2 linked regions of the Caenorhabditis elegans genome follow. The protein of the gene in region 2 purifies or fractionates together with the protein of the main gene of each other region. This does not show direct contact. Each region holds a gene or a part of one and is shown on either strand. Other genes may lie near its edges.

Region 1 (9,271 bases), 240 kb from region 2:
CTCCAAATTTTCCCCTAATTCCGAATATCTATGTGAAAAAATTCAAAAAAAATTCCCTGATATTATATTTTAGCTTGAAATCGTAGAATTTCATTTGTCCCCCGCATCACTTTTTTTAAAATTCGCGCCCAAACAAATTCGCATTGGAGCGCGCTTTGATTTTCTTCATTTAAATATTTTATTTATTTTCCGCCGAATTCAGTTTAAACCAGTTTTATTCATTTTTGTCGAAAAAAATCGATAAAAGCTCGACAAAAATGAATGAAACTGGTTTTCAAAAAACTGCATTCGGCGAAAAATAAATAAAATATTTAAATGAAGAAAATCAAAGCGCGCTCCAATGCGAATTTCTTTGGGCGCGAATTTGAAAAAAAGTGATGCTAGTACAAGCGATTTCAAGCTTAAATATAAAATCAGGGAAATTTTTTTGAATTTTTTCACATAGATATTCGAAATCAGGGGAAAATTTGGAGTCAATTAAAAATAAATTAAAACAATGTAGTCAACGGACATTGAAGAGTGACCCCGACATCACCCGATTAAATAGCAATCGGAATGAAAAAATGCGGAAAAAAAAAGAAAAAAATTGTGACGTTATCAGTTCGAAAAGGACGTCGAACCCGGAGCAGACCGCCTGTCATGGAAAAAATATTTAGTCGAGTTTTTTCATTTTCAATGACGAATTGTGGAGGAGTTTCTCACAAAAAATTCAAAAATTGCACTTCCGGGATTTTTCTACTCAGTAAGCCTAGTGGGGAAATTGCTTTAAAACATGCCCATAGGGTCACAATGACCGAATATCACGATAAAAAAATTCAAAAAATTTTCTAGATTTTATATGATTTTTTTTTGAAAATTGAAAAATCTCAGTTTTTGCCTAATTCCTATTTGAATTACCGCCAATTGAAATTGTTCGATGGAGCGCACTTGCATTATTTTTATTTATTTATTTTATTTTTCTCATTATTTCACTGATTTTATTCGTTTTTTGGGGGTTTTTAATCGGAAAAATAGAGAAAAATGCAAATTGGTCATTAAAAAATTACTGAAAATGGGTAAAACTGTGTTTCGACGCCAAAAATCCTGAAAATAGCATATTCCACAGTTTTACTCATTTTCAGTTACTTTTTAATAAATCTTATAAGCATTTACCTTGCATTTTTCTCTCTTTTTCCGATAAAAATACACAAATAATGAAGAAAATCAGTGAAATAATGAGAAAAATAAAATAAATAGTGCAAGCGCGCTCCATCGAACGAACCCAATTGGCGGTAATTCAAATAGAAATTAGGGGAAAACTGAGATTTTTCAATTTTCAAAAAATCATATAAAATTTAGAAATTTTTTTTGAATTTTTTAATCATGATATTCGGCCATTGTGAAGCAATTTTCCCACTGGGCGCACTCCACCTTAAAAAAATTTCATTGAAAATCAAAAATGTTGCCAATTTTTTTAATAAAATCCTTCCGAAATCTGAAAGTTGGTAATTTTATAGAAAGTTTTAATTATTTTTCTATTTTTCGCGTCTAGAAACTTCAAGAAAACAACACAAAATGACGTTTGGTCACACCACAAAACACATTTTGTTTGTTTCCGATGGAAACAAAAATCGTAATTTTTCCATTTTCCCCTTACACAAAAGAAAGGCAAATTTTCGAAAATTTGATAAGAAACTTGAGATAATCAATAAAGGTTCAAAAAATATTCCGGCGTTGAAACAATGGCAGTTGCCCTTCACCACGTGATCAGGTGACCTATGCGCACGCGCGCGGGTCTCCGAGGACCACCTCTTATCGATCATTTCTGGCGGGGGGAGAATGGTCAAGTATTGAACACAGAACGTCTGCTTCGTAACTGCTGGAAAAAGAAGCCTGCGATGAAAAACCAGCTCACTGTTCATAACGAATTGGGAGCCCACAAAAATGGAAAAAAAACGGGGGATGGGAGACAATAAATAGAAGGTCAAAGGTGGAGTATCGAAACCTGAGATTTTGCATTTTTAGACCCAAAATACTACCGAAAACTACCTAATGAGGCGTTTTGAAAATTTCTCAAAAAAAGGTTATGGCGGTTCAAAGTTCTGGGAAAAATAGCCCATTTTCAGCTAAAATCGAAATTTTTGCCAACTTCTCGGTGTCGTAGAGTCTGGAACTTAAGTTTTATTTAATTATCACTTTTTAAACAATATTTTGGTCTTTTATTAGACATTTATTCGTTAATGTAAGCACATTTTCGACCAGTGGGGGACAAATAAAAGTTACATTTTTGTGCCCCAATGATCGAAAAATCAACTAATCAACGTCTAATAAAAGACCAAAATATTGTTTAAAAAGTGATAATTAAATAAAAATTAAGTTCGAAACACTGAGACACCGAGAAGTTGGCAAAATTTCGATTTTAGCTGAAAAGGGGTATTTTTTCCGAAACTTTGAACCGCCATAACTTTTTTTTGTAAAAAATTTTCAGAACGTCTCATTACAAAATTCGGTAGTTTTGGGTCATTTTAGGTCTAAAAAAGCAAAGTCTAAAATATCGGTACTCCACATTTAAAGGGGGAAAGGAACAAAACAACAGAACAGATGAAGAGAAATGATAGTGCCAAAATTGAATAATACTATAATAATAGTCCAGAAAGAATCGGAGCCAATTACACCAATAAAAGCAAAAAAAAAACAATGGGAATTTTCAATTTTCAATTTTCAAATAATTAATCATCCTCCTCATCACTGTCTTCATCGTCGCCGGCCTTCTTTCGGTTATCTCTGCTGGCTTCTTCCGCGTCGACTTGTTGATCCAAACCCTTTGGAGCCATGAGTCCATCCTGAAAGAAAAATTTTTTTTCGTTTTTCTAGCTTTCAAGGTGGAGTACCGAAATTTGAGGCTTTGTTTTTTAGACCCAAAATGATCCAAAACTACCAAATTCCGTAATGAGACGTTCTGAAAATTTTTCAAAAAAAAGTTATGGCCGCTCAAAGTTTTGGAAACATGTTATATTTTCAGCTAAAATCTCAAATTTTGGCAACTTCTCGATGTCGCAGCGGTTGGAACTTAATTTTTATTTGATTGTCGTTTTTTAATGCATGTTTTGGCATTTTATTTCGTGTTTTTTCGTTGACTGAGATTCTTTATGGTCGATGCGGGCACAAATACGATAAAAGTTTGAGCCCGCATCGACCGAAAAAGCATCTCAATTAACGAAACAACACGAGATAAAATGCCAAAACATGCATTAAAAAACGACAATCAAATAAAAATTAAGTTCCAACCGCTGCGACATCGAGAAGTTGCCAAAATTTGAGATTTTAGCTAAAAATATAACATTTTTCCAAAACTTTGAGCGGCCATAACTTTTTTTTGAGAGATTTTCAGAGCGTCTCATTACGAAATTTGGTAGTTTTTGGCCATTTTTGGTCTAAAAAGTTTTTCGTGATAATTTTACACGAATTGGCAAGTAGAGCTTACACGTGATGCGAATCATTGATAAAACATCAATTTCTGTTTTTACTGCACTGAAATTCCGGCACAATAGCTCTCGTAAATCGACACAAAAGTAATTAAATCACTCCGCGGAAAAATGGAATTTGGATGATTCTGATTTTGAATTTGATTTTAAAAAAAAACCGTTAACCACATTCAAAACAAGAATCGAGTTATTCAAATTTCTTTTTTCCGCGGAGTGACTTAATTACTTTTGTGTCGATTTACGAGAGCTATTGTGCCAGTACAGTAAAAACAGAAATTGATGTATTTATCAATTATTAGTATCACGTGTAAGCTCTACTTGCCAATTCATGTATTATAAAATCATCACGAAAAAATGCTTGAAATCGTCTTAAAAACTCCAAAACTCACATCATCCTCATCCTCTTCCTCGTCCTCGTCTTCCTCTGATTCCTCCTCATCCTCATCTCCATCACCCTTCTTCTTCTCATCATCAATATCCGTCACAATTCTCGCCTCCTCCTTGATCGTGAATTTTCCCTTGAATCCTTCAATCGCATTTTTGATAGTATCCAGAATGCTGTTGACGGCCTCAATTCCACCTTCTCTGTCCAATGTTTGTGTGGTGACGACGAAGTGGGGAGCGGCGATGAGATTGATCTGAATTAGACAATTATTTTTTAAATATTTAAAAAAAAACAATTTCGCACTGCGCACATGGGCGTGGTTTATTGGAGGCGGGGATTCCGGCCGCAACCCTGCGGCGCGCTTTTTTCTCGCTTTTTGGGTGCGGTAATTTTCCTTTTTTTTCGTTTTTTTTGTCCAAAATTTCATGATTTCGATCGATTTTGGCCGTTTTTTTTTCGAATAAAGAAGTGTTCAGCTATTTTTTAAATGAAAAATAACCAAGTTTTCACATTTTTTAACCGAAAAAAAATCACCCAAATCTTGCACATTATTTGAAATTCCCCTGTTAATTTATCTTAATATTGTGAATTATTGTCATTTTTAAAATGTCCTTCTTGATAATTTGTATATTTAAATGAAGAGAAAGCGAGTTTTATCGTATTTTCAGAAAGAGAGACAAAAAAGCATTTTTTCGGGTAAAAACTGTGTTTAAAAAATAGCTGAAAACTCTCTTTCTGAAAAATATTATAAAACTCGCTTTCTCTTCATATAAATATACAACAAGTTATAAAAGAAGACATTGAAAAATGACAATAATTCACAATATTAAAAGAAATTAACCGGAGAATTTTTCGGGTAAAAACTGTACTATGAAAACTTGGTTTTTTTCTTCGAAAAAACGGACAAAATCGAGCGACATCGTGAAATTTTAAACAAAAAACGCAAAAAGCGAGAAAAAAGCGCGCCCATGTGTAAAATCTATAAAATGAAACCTTAATCGGGAAGGTTCCATTTGAGCAGTTCTTTCCAGCAATAAGTGCAGCCTTCACAGCATCAATACCATCATAATCGAAGCAGGAGACTTCAATATCAGCGCGAATTTTAACCGCCTGAGGGGTGAGCTTCTTCCTAATGTCCTCCAAGAGTTTCTCCTTAATATCTGCACTAATATCACACTCATCCAAGATCGTCGGTTCGGTGATCGCCTTCTTGAATGCGTCATATGAAGCTGCTTTCCGTTTCTCTTTGCGATCAAAGTGCCACGCGGTCTTTTGGTACAAATCCTCCAACTCTTCGTCGGTAGTGTATCCGACTTGCTCGGCCACGTGTCTCAAAATGCTGTTCACCATTTTGGCGTTCGCGAATCGCTCGTCGCACTGTTTCAAGTCTTTCTGGTAGACACGACGCTTCGACAGATCAATGTAACCTTTGTCCTTGTCGACACGGATCACGACGACGCTTTCACTTCGGCCGACACGGATTAGCTTGTTCACTGAACGGATACGACGACGGGAGAGCTCGGAGAGCAGGATCATACCCTCTGAAAAATGATTTAATTTAAAGGAGGACGAACGGTTCGGACGATTTTGAACGTATAGACTCAAAATGAGCTCAAACGAACGAATTTCGTAATGAAACTGCTCAAAAATGTTTCAAAAATTTTTTTATGGCGGTTCAAAATTTTGAAAAATTGCACTGATTTTAGCTAAAATCACGAATTTTTCCCTTTTTTCCGTGCCAAATCCTTCCTAAGTTAGCTTTTTTGGAATCATCGTCTTTTATTACATATATTGGTAGTTTATCTCATTTAATTTTACCGATTAAAGTATATTTAAAGCCGATAGGTAACCAAAAATCAACGAAATTAAATGAGATAAACTACCAATATATGTAATAAAAGACGATAATTCCAAAAAAGCTAACTTAGGAAGGATTTGACACGGAAAAAAGGGGAAAATTCGTGATTTTAGCTAAAATCATTGTAATTTTTCAAAATTTTGAACCGCCATAAAAATTTTTTGAAACATTTTTGAGCAGTTTCATTACGAAATTCGTTCATTTGAGCTCATTTTGGGTCTATACGTTCAAAATCGTCCGAACCGTTAGTCCTCTTTTAATTCGATTTTTGTTTTAAAATGATGATTTTAAAAACCTTTATCATTGTACTCGGAAAGCCGGACGTAGGCACCCATATCGGCAATCATTTTAACATTGGCGACAACGGTCTCCTCGACATCGGGGAATTGATTCTCGTAGAAACGGCATTTCATTAACGCCATCTGAAATGAGAAGAAGAAAAGTTTAGCATTAAAAAAAAAGAAAATTGAAAAGAAATAAGAAAATTATAAATAATGATTTTGGGAAATCAACCATTGAAAATTAATAAATTCCCAATTTCAAATTCATTATATCGCGAACAAATTATTCATTAGACGAAAATTTCCAACAAAAACAAGCAAAAAAAATGAAAAAGCTACGATACCTACACAAAATGAATGAAGGAAATGACCTACTCTAAACAGAACAAAAAAAACGAAATTTAAAAAGTATTTAATTGAGAATTCGGGCATGATTATTCTCGAAAGTTCAACAGAGTGAAAAAGGCTCTTTGAAAAGGGGAAAATGAGTGGAATTCGTCTAAAACACGTAACCGGAGATATTTAGGATTGAAGGTTGAGAAGGGTTTGTTGGTTTCCTGGAAGATAGGTGACATTCTTGTTCTTGGCCATACGCTCGGCGATCTCTTCGGCGGCCTCAATCTTTCTGAGCTCGACAAGTCCGTCTCCGGCAGAGGCAAAGGCCTTGGCAAGAAGCTTTGCGGCTTGAGCATCTCCTTCGGCGGTGGTAACGGCGGCGATCTTCATTTGTTCAGCCTTCTCGACAAGGTATCTCGCTTTTTCGGCTTCTTGCTGTGCGACTTGCTTCATTTCGACGGCTTCAGTGAATTCACGTCCAAAGTTCAAGTGGGTCTGAAAAATCATGGAAATAGCTTAAACTTCATAAATCTGGTGAACTTACAATTGCAATATCATCAAGGAGAAGTCCGAACTGTGCAGCACGTTCACGAAGAGCCACGGACGCCCGTTGGGAGACAACCTCACGCTGGGTGATCATCTCATGAGCATCGAATTGCGCCTGGAATTAATTTTAACAAATTTTAAATCAAAATCAGTTCGCAATATTTAAATTAAAATTTTTTCTCACCACAACAGCCTTCAAAACTTCATTTGTAATGGAAGGAAGGACTCTTTCTGCGTAGTCCAAACCAATGTTCAGGTAGATGTTTGGAAGACGATCGGGGCTTGGTCTGTGAAGGATACGGAGAGTAATGTTGACGTTTTGCAAGTCTTTACTTCCAGTGATGGTGGTGACGGCTCTCGGCGTTGACCGGATATCAAAAATGATTGGTTTTTGTACCCATGGAATTAAGAAATGAGTTCCTTCTCCGACGACCTCGTTTTTCACTCCACTGAATCGGTCGAAGATGACTGCTCGTTGACCTCCATCAACATTGTAAAGAGCAGTTTGTGCGATTCCTCCAGCGATGGAAAGGCCCACTCCGACAGTTCCCAAGCGACCCAAAAGCTTCTGTGCAGATGCAGCCATTCTGGTAAATGGAAGTTAATAACTTGGACAAAAAATGGGAAATAGAAAGAGAAATGAACGAGCTATGATGCAAAATTGATAATAATCCTAATTATCACGAAATTAGATGGATGAATTAAATGGTGTCAGGAAATCTAAATTGAAAAAGTGAGTTTAGTCGAGTAAAATTAGAAAACAAAAAATACTTCAAAAATAATTACGGAATGTTATAAATAATGCAACACAAAGTATTTTTCGACTTTCTCCACGAATAAATCGATAATAACAGTGAGCCTGAATCAAAAAGTACAAAATATCAATAACTTATTTATTTGCAAAATTATTTAATTAAATTTTAACTAACTTTTCTGCTTTTTTAGCTTAAAAAATCGATTTAAATGATGAAATAAGTTGCGCAAAAAATAAAAGAGTTTAAAGGGAGGCTGCATTTCATCGAGAGGGTCTCGCCACGAAATGCGCATCAAACGAGTGTGACCGTACCTCAGATTTTGGGAGACACACTCACTGAATTTTTGCGAATATTTTAGGATTTCTTTTTGTTCTCAATGGTTTTTCGCTAGGTTTTAATGAAAAAAGTGTGTGATCTGGTCGATTTTAATTATCTTTAAAGACAAAATTTGTATTTTTGTAGTAATTTTATCCGAGAATATCGGGAACCTTTCATTGAATATTTTTCTCTGATTTTTCTTCTCCATTTTCGATCGAAATTTGCCGCTTTTACACATTCAAATTGTTTACTTTACAGGGTATGGCTCACGCGTTGAGAAAGACAAGAAAGCTCCGTGGTCACGTCTCGCACGGACACGGACGTATTGGAAAGCACAGGAAGCATCCTGGAGGTCGCGGTAACGCCGGAGGTCAACATCACCACCGTATCAACCGTGACAAGTACCATCCTGGATACTTCGGAAAGGTATTATTTTTAAGGTACTTTTTTAAAAGTTCGTTGGAAATTATCCGCTCCTATCTTGGCGCTTCCATTGGTGAATATGGCTGTGTATGTTATAGGAGAGATAGTAGTGCCTTTTGGCTTTCGGATCTCCTTCGGTGTTTGTCTTGCATCTCGACAAATGTCATCCTCTGGGTTCGAGACAATTAAATCTAATATGTTCTTTATTATCTGACACTCAAACTTTAATTTTCAGGTTGGAATGAGAGTGTTCCATCTCAACAAGAACCAACACTACTGCCCAACCGTCAACGTCGAGCGTTTGTGGTCTCTTGTCCCACAGGAGGTTCGCGACAAGGCCACCGGAGGCAAATCCCCAGTCATTGACTGCACCAAGCTTGGATACTTCAAGGTGTGTTTTGAAACAAGTCAAACAAGAATTTCTCTCGTCTTGGCGCTTCCACTGGTGAATGTGGTTGTGTATGTTACGAGAGACAAAGTAGCGCCTAACGGCTTTCGGATCTCCTTCGGTGTTTGTCTTGAATTTCGACAAATGTCATCCTCTGGGTTCGAGACAATTATCTTTCATGACTATGAAACGTAAATTTAACTGTTCTTATTTTCAGGTTCTCGGAAAAGGACTCCTCCCAGAGACTCCACTCATCGTTAAAGCCAGATTCTTCTCCCACGAGGCTGAGCAAAAGATCAAGAAGGCCGGAGGAGCTTGTGTTTTGGTGGCTTAAGCCATGTTGTTACCTTGTATTAAAACAATGTTTCAAGTTGAATTTGTTCTTGTTGTTGAATTCTATTCACATGGTCTTTACCCATGCTTCATATCTTATTGTTTTCTTACCCTGGTCACTTTGTGGCATTAATACTTTCTTTCAGCGTTCTATCAAACGTTTGTTCTCTTTGGAGCTAAGGCA
Region 2 (7,318 bases):
AAAATACGAACAATCCAATAGGGGGAAGGTGAACGGGGGCAATATGAAGGAATGATACATTTACAAGAGAAAGTAAAATAAATTCTTGGCAATCACCTAATCGTCATCTTCCTCGTCTATTTCATCTAGAACCTCCCGTCGGCGGAAGAGCTTTCGAAGGCGGTTCTCCCGTTTACGATGTCTCTCCAACTTCTGACGCAGTCGCTCGTTTTTCGTATCATCCGAATCGTCGGAATACTCGCCGTCGGATGAGAACTCGGAAGCCGACGAGCAAATCGATTCCCGGCACGCTTGCTCTGGTATCGGCTCCATACGAGGCGGGATCGGTGGCCGACGATTCGGATAATTGAGCCCAGTATCAACGTAAGCGGCCGCTGTCAGCTGATAGCAGTACTCCACGAACAGATGCGGCTCCAAACACTTTGCGTTCGCCATAAACTCGTGTGGCGCGGGGAAAGTAGGACCAGCGGGAACGAGACGATACGAACGTTTCGCGTCCATTTTCCGACGAACGTGATCCATGACCTCCATGGCAAATGGGTGAACTTCTCCGACTCGATGAAATGGGTTTGCACGCTGAGAACGGCTTGCTCCAATCATTGTGACTGTCAATGGAGGTGGAGGACAACGTGGTGGACCGAAGCGTCTGGAAAAAACGAGTTATTTAAGATTATTAATACGACTAGAATCCAACTTTTTGGCTATAATATCATGACGCCATTGGACAAGATCGTTGAACCATTGGATCATGTTCTGTCGCTCCTTCTTCTCATCAATACATTCACCTTTGCGGAAAATGTTGCATTGAGCTTCATCTTGGCATCTGAAATAAAAAATTTTTTAAAATTTATGAACATTTTTTACATACGTGTGACCCGGCGGCTTCTCCACCTCATCACAGCTTGATGCAATCTCCTCGAGATCGGGCGGCGAGGTGTCCGAGCACGAGGATCTTCGTGAATCCGACAAGCTTTTCGGTGTATCGACGAGAAACGATAAATCAATTCGGACTGAGTCCGCCTCGGAACTCTCGGTCACTGGTGGAACGGATACATCGATGGCTGATGTTTTGGAGACCTTCGAATTGAGCTCTAGAAGTGTTTTGTGCGAAACGTAGGACGAGCTGGCGGATGATGTTGCCGGCGTCGTAGGGATCTCCAGCTTGTCAAACAATCGTTTCACAGTCATCTCGTCTTCCGGCGTCAATCTCGGACTGTTTGGAGAGCCACGTGGAGTTGGTAGGCATGATGGTTTCCTGTCGTGTGCAGTATGCCCGAATGGGAGATCAATTTGAGTAGGCGAGATGGGAAACGGGAACGCAGATTCCGACGAAGGTTTCGGACATGTGTACTGATGATGAAAGTGCGAGTAGGATCTGCACGTGGATTTGTCTGCAATTTAAAATTGTATTTTCTTTGGGAAATGTTAAGGACATGGAATTGTCGCCTACATAGTGGAATTGTCGGAATATGACGACTGCGATCGACCCACTTCTTGGCGAAGGTGCTTCGTGGTGGAGGTGCTTCTTCGTTTTTTGGAATGACCGTATCAGAACGGAGCACCATAATTGGTTTCCCGCGTAAATTGTTCAGCTGGAACTAGGTTATGTTTTAGTGGGTGGAAAAAATCGCACAATTCAGAGTATTACCTGCACTTTCTTGCTCCTGTCATAGCCGTAAAGTGACGTTTGAACAGTGTTCGGACCTTCGATGAATTTCGGGGCCGGCATCGCTGAAATTTATCATTTAGAGTGTATGTTTTATCCGATCGAGGCGTTAAAATAAAAGTTTTATACATTTTATTCAGATTTTCGAACAAAAATTTGAGAAAATTGGAGAAAATAAAGAGAAATTCAGATGAAATTCGAAAATTTTCTAGCGGCCTACAACACCGTAAACATTCTACAAAAGTCTCATCGCGGCGAGACCATCTGCGCAAGGAATGAAACCTCCCTTTAAGGTGGGTTACTGTAGCCTGCACTTTTCGTTTTGTTTTTCAAAACCTGAATCTTTGCTGCAATTATAAAATGTATTTCCAGATTTTACTCAAATCCAATAATTTATCGAAAAAACACCAAGCACACTTTCAACAAAAAGAAAAATAATCAATGAAACTGGAAGTGGAATAGTAGGAAACAGGAGGAGGACAGAAAAAAGAACCAAAACAGGGATCCGACAAAATTTTTTGGACTAATAGAGAGACAAAAACGGAGAGAAACAATTGGAAAAGATTAATAATATGTCAAAACCGGTGTAGACAACAAATCGATGATAGCCGCTAGTTCTTGTACGGCTCAACGGTTTGACCTTTGCGAATGGTTCCCCAGCCAATCAGGCGCCAACTCTTCTCGAAACGACGTGACATGGCAATCTTCTCTCCAACCTGAATTTAAATACAAATTAAATTTATTATTTTATAAAAAGTGGGAATTACCTCTGTGCAAATAGGATCGTTTAATCTGATCTTCGCGGCGTCTCCCTTCACAGCAGTAACTCTTCCTCCCGTTGACAACGATCCAATGTTCACCAGCAAAGTCTCTTCCTTGACAAGCTTCTGCACCTTGGCTCCCTTCTTCTTTCCTTCAGTACGAACTCCGAGCAATCTTCTCAGAAGATAGAAGGAGATTTCAATTTCGATGAAGATATCTGGAAGAGTGCCAACGGCTCCGAGGATGTGACCGACGAGTCGATCTCCACGGCAGAGTGTCGGGTCGATCTTCGTTCCAACACCGATGAGACCGCCGGGAACGGCGTATTCCAGCTGGTTCTTTTCGGCAAACAGAGAGTCGATACGGGAGAAGATCGGACGGCATTGGAGTTGACCGGTCGCGGTTTTTGAGACGATTCCCGGGCGAACTTCGATTTCTTGTCCGACGCGCAGAATTCCCTTGGTCAATGTTCCTCCGGCGACTCCTCCCTTCAAGTTTTCAACTTCAGATCCTGGCTTGTTAACATCGAATGATCGGATAATGATGAGACGAGCCGGCGACTTGAAGTCACGGACTGGCACGGGGATTTTCTTGCAAAGATACTCGCAAACGAGCTGAAAAATCGCAATTAATCTAGTATACACGCTCTCCTCAAGCGTTCATAATTATTAGAGCGCGCTCGCGCGGCCCCTCACGAACTCCAGAATTCGCGGGGACAGCAGTTTTAGGCGGCTGTTTTTGGCTTCTATGGAAATTATTTTTAATTTTTTGTTTAATAATATTGTTGAGAAGCACCATCCGAATTGAAAATGTGTAAAATTATGAAATCTGACCGAAAACTGAAGGTTTTACAGAGAGGAGTCACCACGGCTTTCTTTAAAATGTATCAGTACAGTCAGTTTTTCGATTTCAGAGTCGTAGAATATGTTATTTTGTAGAGAAAAGTCTGTTTCACAAAAATCCATGTTTGAAATTTTAAAATTGTTCTTATGAAAAACTGAAAATTTGAAAAAATTAGATTCTAACGTAAAATTGTTGATTTTTTGAATATTTTTATATTAGAAATTAAAAAATTAAAATTTCAAACATGGATTTTCGTGAAACAGACTTACAAAATGACATATTTTACGACTCTGAATTCGAAAAACTGACGGTACTGATACATTTTAAAGAAAGCCGTGGTGACTCCTCTCTGTAAAAACTTCAGTTTTCGGTCAGATTTCATAATTTTACACATTTTCAATTCGGATGGTGCTTCTCAACAATATTATAAATCAAAAAAATTAAAAATAATTTCCATAGAAGCCGAATATAGCCAAAAACTGCTGTCCCCGCGAAACGAATTCCCGCGAATTCTGGAGTTCGTGTGGTGCCGCGCGAGCGCGCTCTAATAATTATGAACACTTGAGGAGAGCGTGGTATATTTAAATCCAGATTCAGATCCTTACATCAACATTATATTTAAGCTGCGCAGAAATCGGGATGACTGGAGCATTCTCGGCGACCGTTCCTTGCACAAATCCGGCGATTTGCTCGTAATTTTCGCGGGCTTGCGACTCCTTGATAATATCGACCTTGTTCTGAAGAATCATCAAATGATTCAGCTGCATAATCTCGACGGCGGCGAGATGTTCAGATGTTTGTGGCTGTGGGCATGGTTCGTTTCCGGCGACGAGCAAGAACGCGGCGTCCATGACAGCGGCTCCGTTCAACATGGTGGCCATAAGAATGTCGTGACCTGGGCAATCGACGAATGAGACGTGGCGAACACAGGTGAATTCTCCACCGCATCCGGCGCGCTCGCATGGGAACCGATCGGGTGTTGATGAACCGGCGGATCTGAATTAGAATTCAAAAATTATTTATTTAAATTAAATTTCAGGGAGATATTATAACCTGTAACATCCTGGCCTTGGGCACTCTTGGTTAGAACATCTGTAGATCTTTGCATTAGCGTATCCAAGTTTGATAGTAATATTTCTTTCCAACTCTCTTTTGAACTTGACAGTATGCACACCGGAGAACGCTTTCACCAGAGTGGATTTTCCATGGGCTACGTGGCCAATAGTTCCGATATTAATCGTGGCTTGTCGAGAGATAACCTGAAAAATAACTCTTTAACTCAAAAATTATTGATTTTCAGTACCTCCTCGGTGAGTGGGTTCAAATTATCGACTCCGACTTTGTCCAAATCTTGTTTCGCAAGCCAGCTCTGGCACTTGTCCTTTTCAGCTTCTAAATTAAGAAAGAATTATGAAATTTTCTTGAAACCGAAAAGCTAACACTTACCAGAAGCCATATTTTTTGTTTTTATGATCCCAGTTGAGTCGATTATTGATCTTTAAAAAATTATCATTATAATTAATCGAAATTACTCAAAATTAATTGAAAATCCATAAAGATTGCATAGAAAACAGGCTAAAATTGGATAAAATTAGAAATGGGTTAAAGGCGCATGGGAGTGGTTGGAAGGGTCTCGATGCGATTTCGTGTGTCGATTTACGAGCTCGAATTTTATGTTTTGCTTTTTAGCGCGAACCAGGCAAAAATCGTTGAATTAACGGACATCTGTATATTTTTCGTATGGAAATATTAGCGAAATTGCTTCTTAAAATTATTTATACGGCATTATAAACCATGTATTCAAGTAAAATGCAATAATTATTCATCATAAATCACCGAAAATCCCAAAATAACAAAAGAGTATCATAAATTAAGCAGAAATGGAGTCCACAAGCGTCTTCGCATTGACGAATTCTGCGGCTTCCTCCGGATAATTCCCAGAAGCAATCGATTCACGGAGGTCGGCCACAGCTTTTTGGAGACGTGATTGAGAATCGCGGACCATGTTGGCAGTTTCCTGAAAATATTTTAATTTCGTATACTCGTAAATCGGATTATTTCAAAAAACCTTAACAATATCCTTCGACTTCTTGGCAACATACTCCTCGTCCTCGTTGGTGGCGTCGGCGGCGAGTTGGGCAGCCTTCTGCTCCTCCTTCACAACTTGCTTCTCGTAATAGGCGACTTCTTTGACGAGACGTTGCACGGTTCCCGTCTTGATTCGGAGCGCTTTCAGCTGATCGGCTTGGGTCGACATGGCGGCGGGAGGTTCTGCAATGTGAATTTTTGAAACAGAGAACGAGATTGTGAGCTTGCTTTTATGGACTAAAAATCGATAGAAAAAGGCGCAATACCACCGAAAATGTTGTGCTCAATGAGCCGAAAAAGGACGGGAAAGCGAGCAGATGGTCAGACACGCTCGGCGATTTCGAAATAAATACAAATTGACCGCTGTCTGTTGGGCGACACAGGTTCCCGCCAAAAAATCGACTGTTCAAATGATTTCGCAATACATACATAGAGAACGAACAAGAAGGATCAATGAAAAATTCTATGAATTTGAAATTAGGTACTGATGGAACGGCAGATGCACCCATGGGGGTACTGCATAAATAATAAAATTTTAAAACAAGACATAAATTTAAAAATTCAGATTTAAAAAAAACAAACAAAAAATAGCAAAATCTAGAAATTTAAAAAAATTCATCAAATATTAAAAATCTATTGCAATCTGGTCAGTTTGCAAATATACATTGGTCCAAAGTTAGAGGGTAGAAACGGCACGACGAGGGCTCCCAGTGGAGTGTCATGGAAACGATAGAGGCCTGATGACGTCATATGGGATACGAGTTGATGTAGGGATTCCTCGACGGTCACGATTCCAAAGTCATTGCGTACGACGGCTACAGCGTTCTCGACGACTGCCTGAAGAAATTTGAATTAGCATTTTTGAGCTGTTATTTCGACAAAAAACCCCGGTCTCGACACGCCAGAAGTACTGTAGCCGCGAAAGTACGCAATCACCGGATCCTACGAAAAAATGCATGCAGAATTTCGGGATTTTTTTTGAGGGAAAATGTTGGGATCGGGCGAGAGTTGAAGCCAGAATCAAATTTTTAAACGGAAATCGTCAAAATTTGAAATTTTGATTTGATTTTCTCAACTGTTTAGTGAAAATTCGAGATTTATAGTGTTAAAAGAAACGATTTCTTCACATTTTAAACTTTTGTGAAACTATCAGAGCAAAATTTGAGCATTTCGGGGTACTGTAGCGGTGAAAATACGCAAACACGGCAGGGAGCGCAAAAAAAAATGCAGAATGCGATTTTTTTTAAACTAAAATTGGAAAATAGCCGAATATTGTTTTGAAAAATTGAGTTTTTCACGTTTTTTGTAAAATTTTCATCGATTTTTCATCAATTTTCGAATTTTTTACAAATCGAGAAAAAACTATATTTGTCATCATTTTTCAAGGAGTTTTTCAAAAATCGATGCAACAAAAAATTTGGAACTACAGTACTCCTTAAAGGCGCATATATTTTCCTATTTAACAAAAAAATTTGTCGTGCCAAGACCAGGTTCGAGCGAAAACCTCGTTTTGGCTTGGTGAGAGTGTGCACGTCGAGTAGACAACCGAGCCACCAACTTTTACAGATCGCAGTGCATTTCTGAAAGGAAAAATAATTTGAGGGAAAGCCGAGGATCCTTACACAAGAATCTTGGTCTGAAGAACCGGAAGATCAAGCCTCTGCTGAGTGGATCCTGTGCTGAAAAGGTTTCCGTCGTCGGTGCTGACTGATAGACGATCCGTCGAGCACGGAACATCGACGAGCACTTTATCGTAGGCCTCGAATTCATCCCAAGTTTTGACGTCGGACGCGTCCTTGCGTTTTAGGACGAATTTGTCGATTGTCTGCAGGAAAATTTTTGGAGTTTTAGCTAATTTTGGAGGGATTTATATTTAAAAAAAAGAATTTTCGACATTTTTTAATCGAAAAAAAAAACTCTAATTTCAAAAAATTGTTTTATTTTCTGATTTTCCTCAAA

What was found.
Region 1: the proteins of eif-2gamma (region 2) and eif-2alpha fractionate together in Caenorhabditis elegans (co-fractionation; one large-scale study listed by BioGRID). This does not show direct contact.

What each region holds. Positions count from the first base shown.
Region 1 is NC_003279.8:2,069,538-2,078,808, reverse strand, and holds eif-2alpha (Eukaryotic translation initiation factor 2 subunit 1), read right to left. Parts: upstream 6,130-9,271; 5' UTR 6,121-6,129; coding exon 6,003-6,120; intron 5,391-6,002; coding exon 4,843-5,390; intron 4,104-4,842; exon of another isoform or gene 4,103-4,103; coding exon 3,854-4,102; intron 2,823-3,853; coding exon 2,709-2,822; 3' UTR 1,884-2,708; downstream 1-1,883. Other genes in the region: phb-1 (Mitochondrial prohibitin complex protein 1), read right to left, coding at 6,511-6,819, 6,869-6,985, 7,055-7,456; rpl-27A (Large ribosomal subunit protein uL15), read left to right, coding at 8,205-8,369, 8,602-8,757, 8,972-9,088.
Region 2 is NC_003279.8:2,310,720-2,318,037, reverse strand, and holds eif-2gamma (protein-synthesizing GTPase), read right to left. Parts: upstream 4,768-7,318; 5' UTR 4,728-4,767; coding exon 4,718-4,727; intron 4,664-4,717; coding exon 4,575-4,663; intron 4,531-4,574; coding exon 4,325-4,530; intron 4,268-4,324; coding exon 3,877-4,267; intron 3,043-3,876; coding exon 2,434-3,042; intron 2,383-2,433; coding exon 2,278-2,382; 3' UTR 2,046-2,277; downstream 1-2,045. Other genes in the region: ekl-7 (PEHE domain-containing protein), read right to left, coding at 97-646, 695-823, 869-1,391, 1,451-1,598, 1,649-1,729; tbca-1 (Tubulin-specific chaperone A), read right to left, coding at 5,142-5,288, 5,340-5,528; 5-cytosine rRNA methyltransferase nsun-4, read right to left, coding at 5,993-6,196, 6,864-6,939, 6,982-7,184.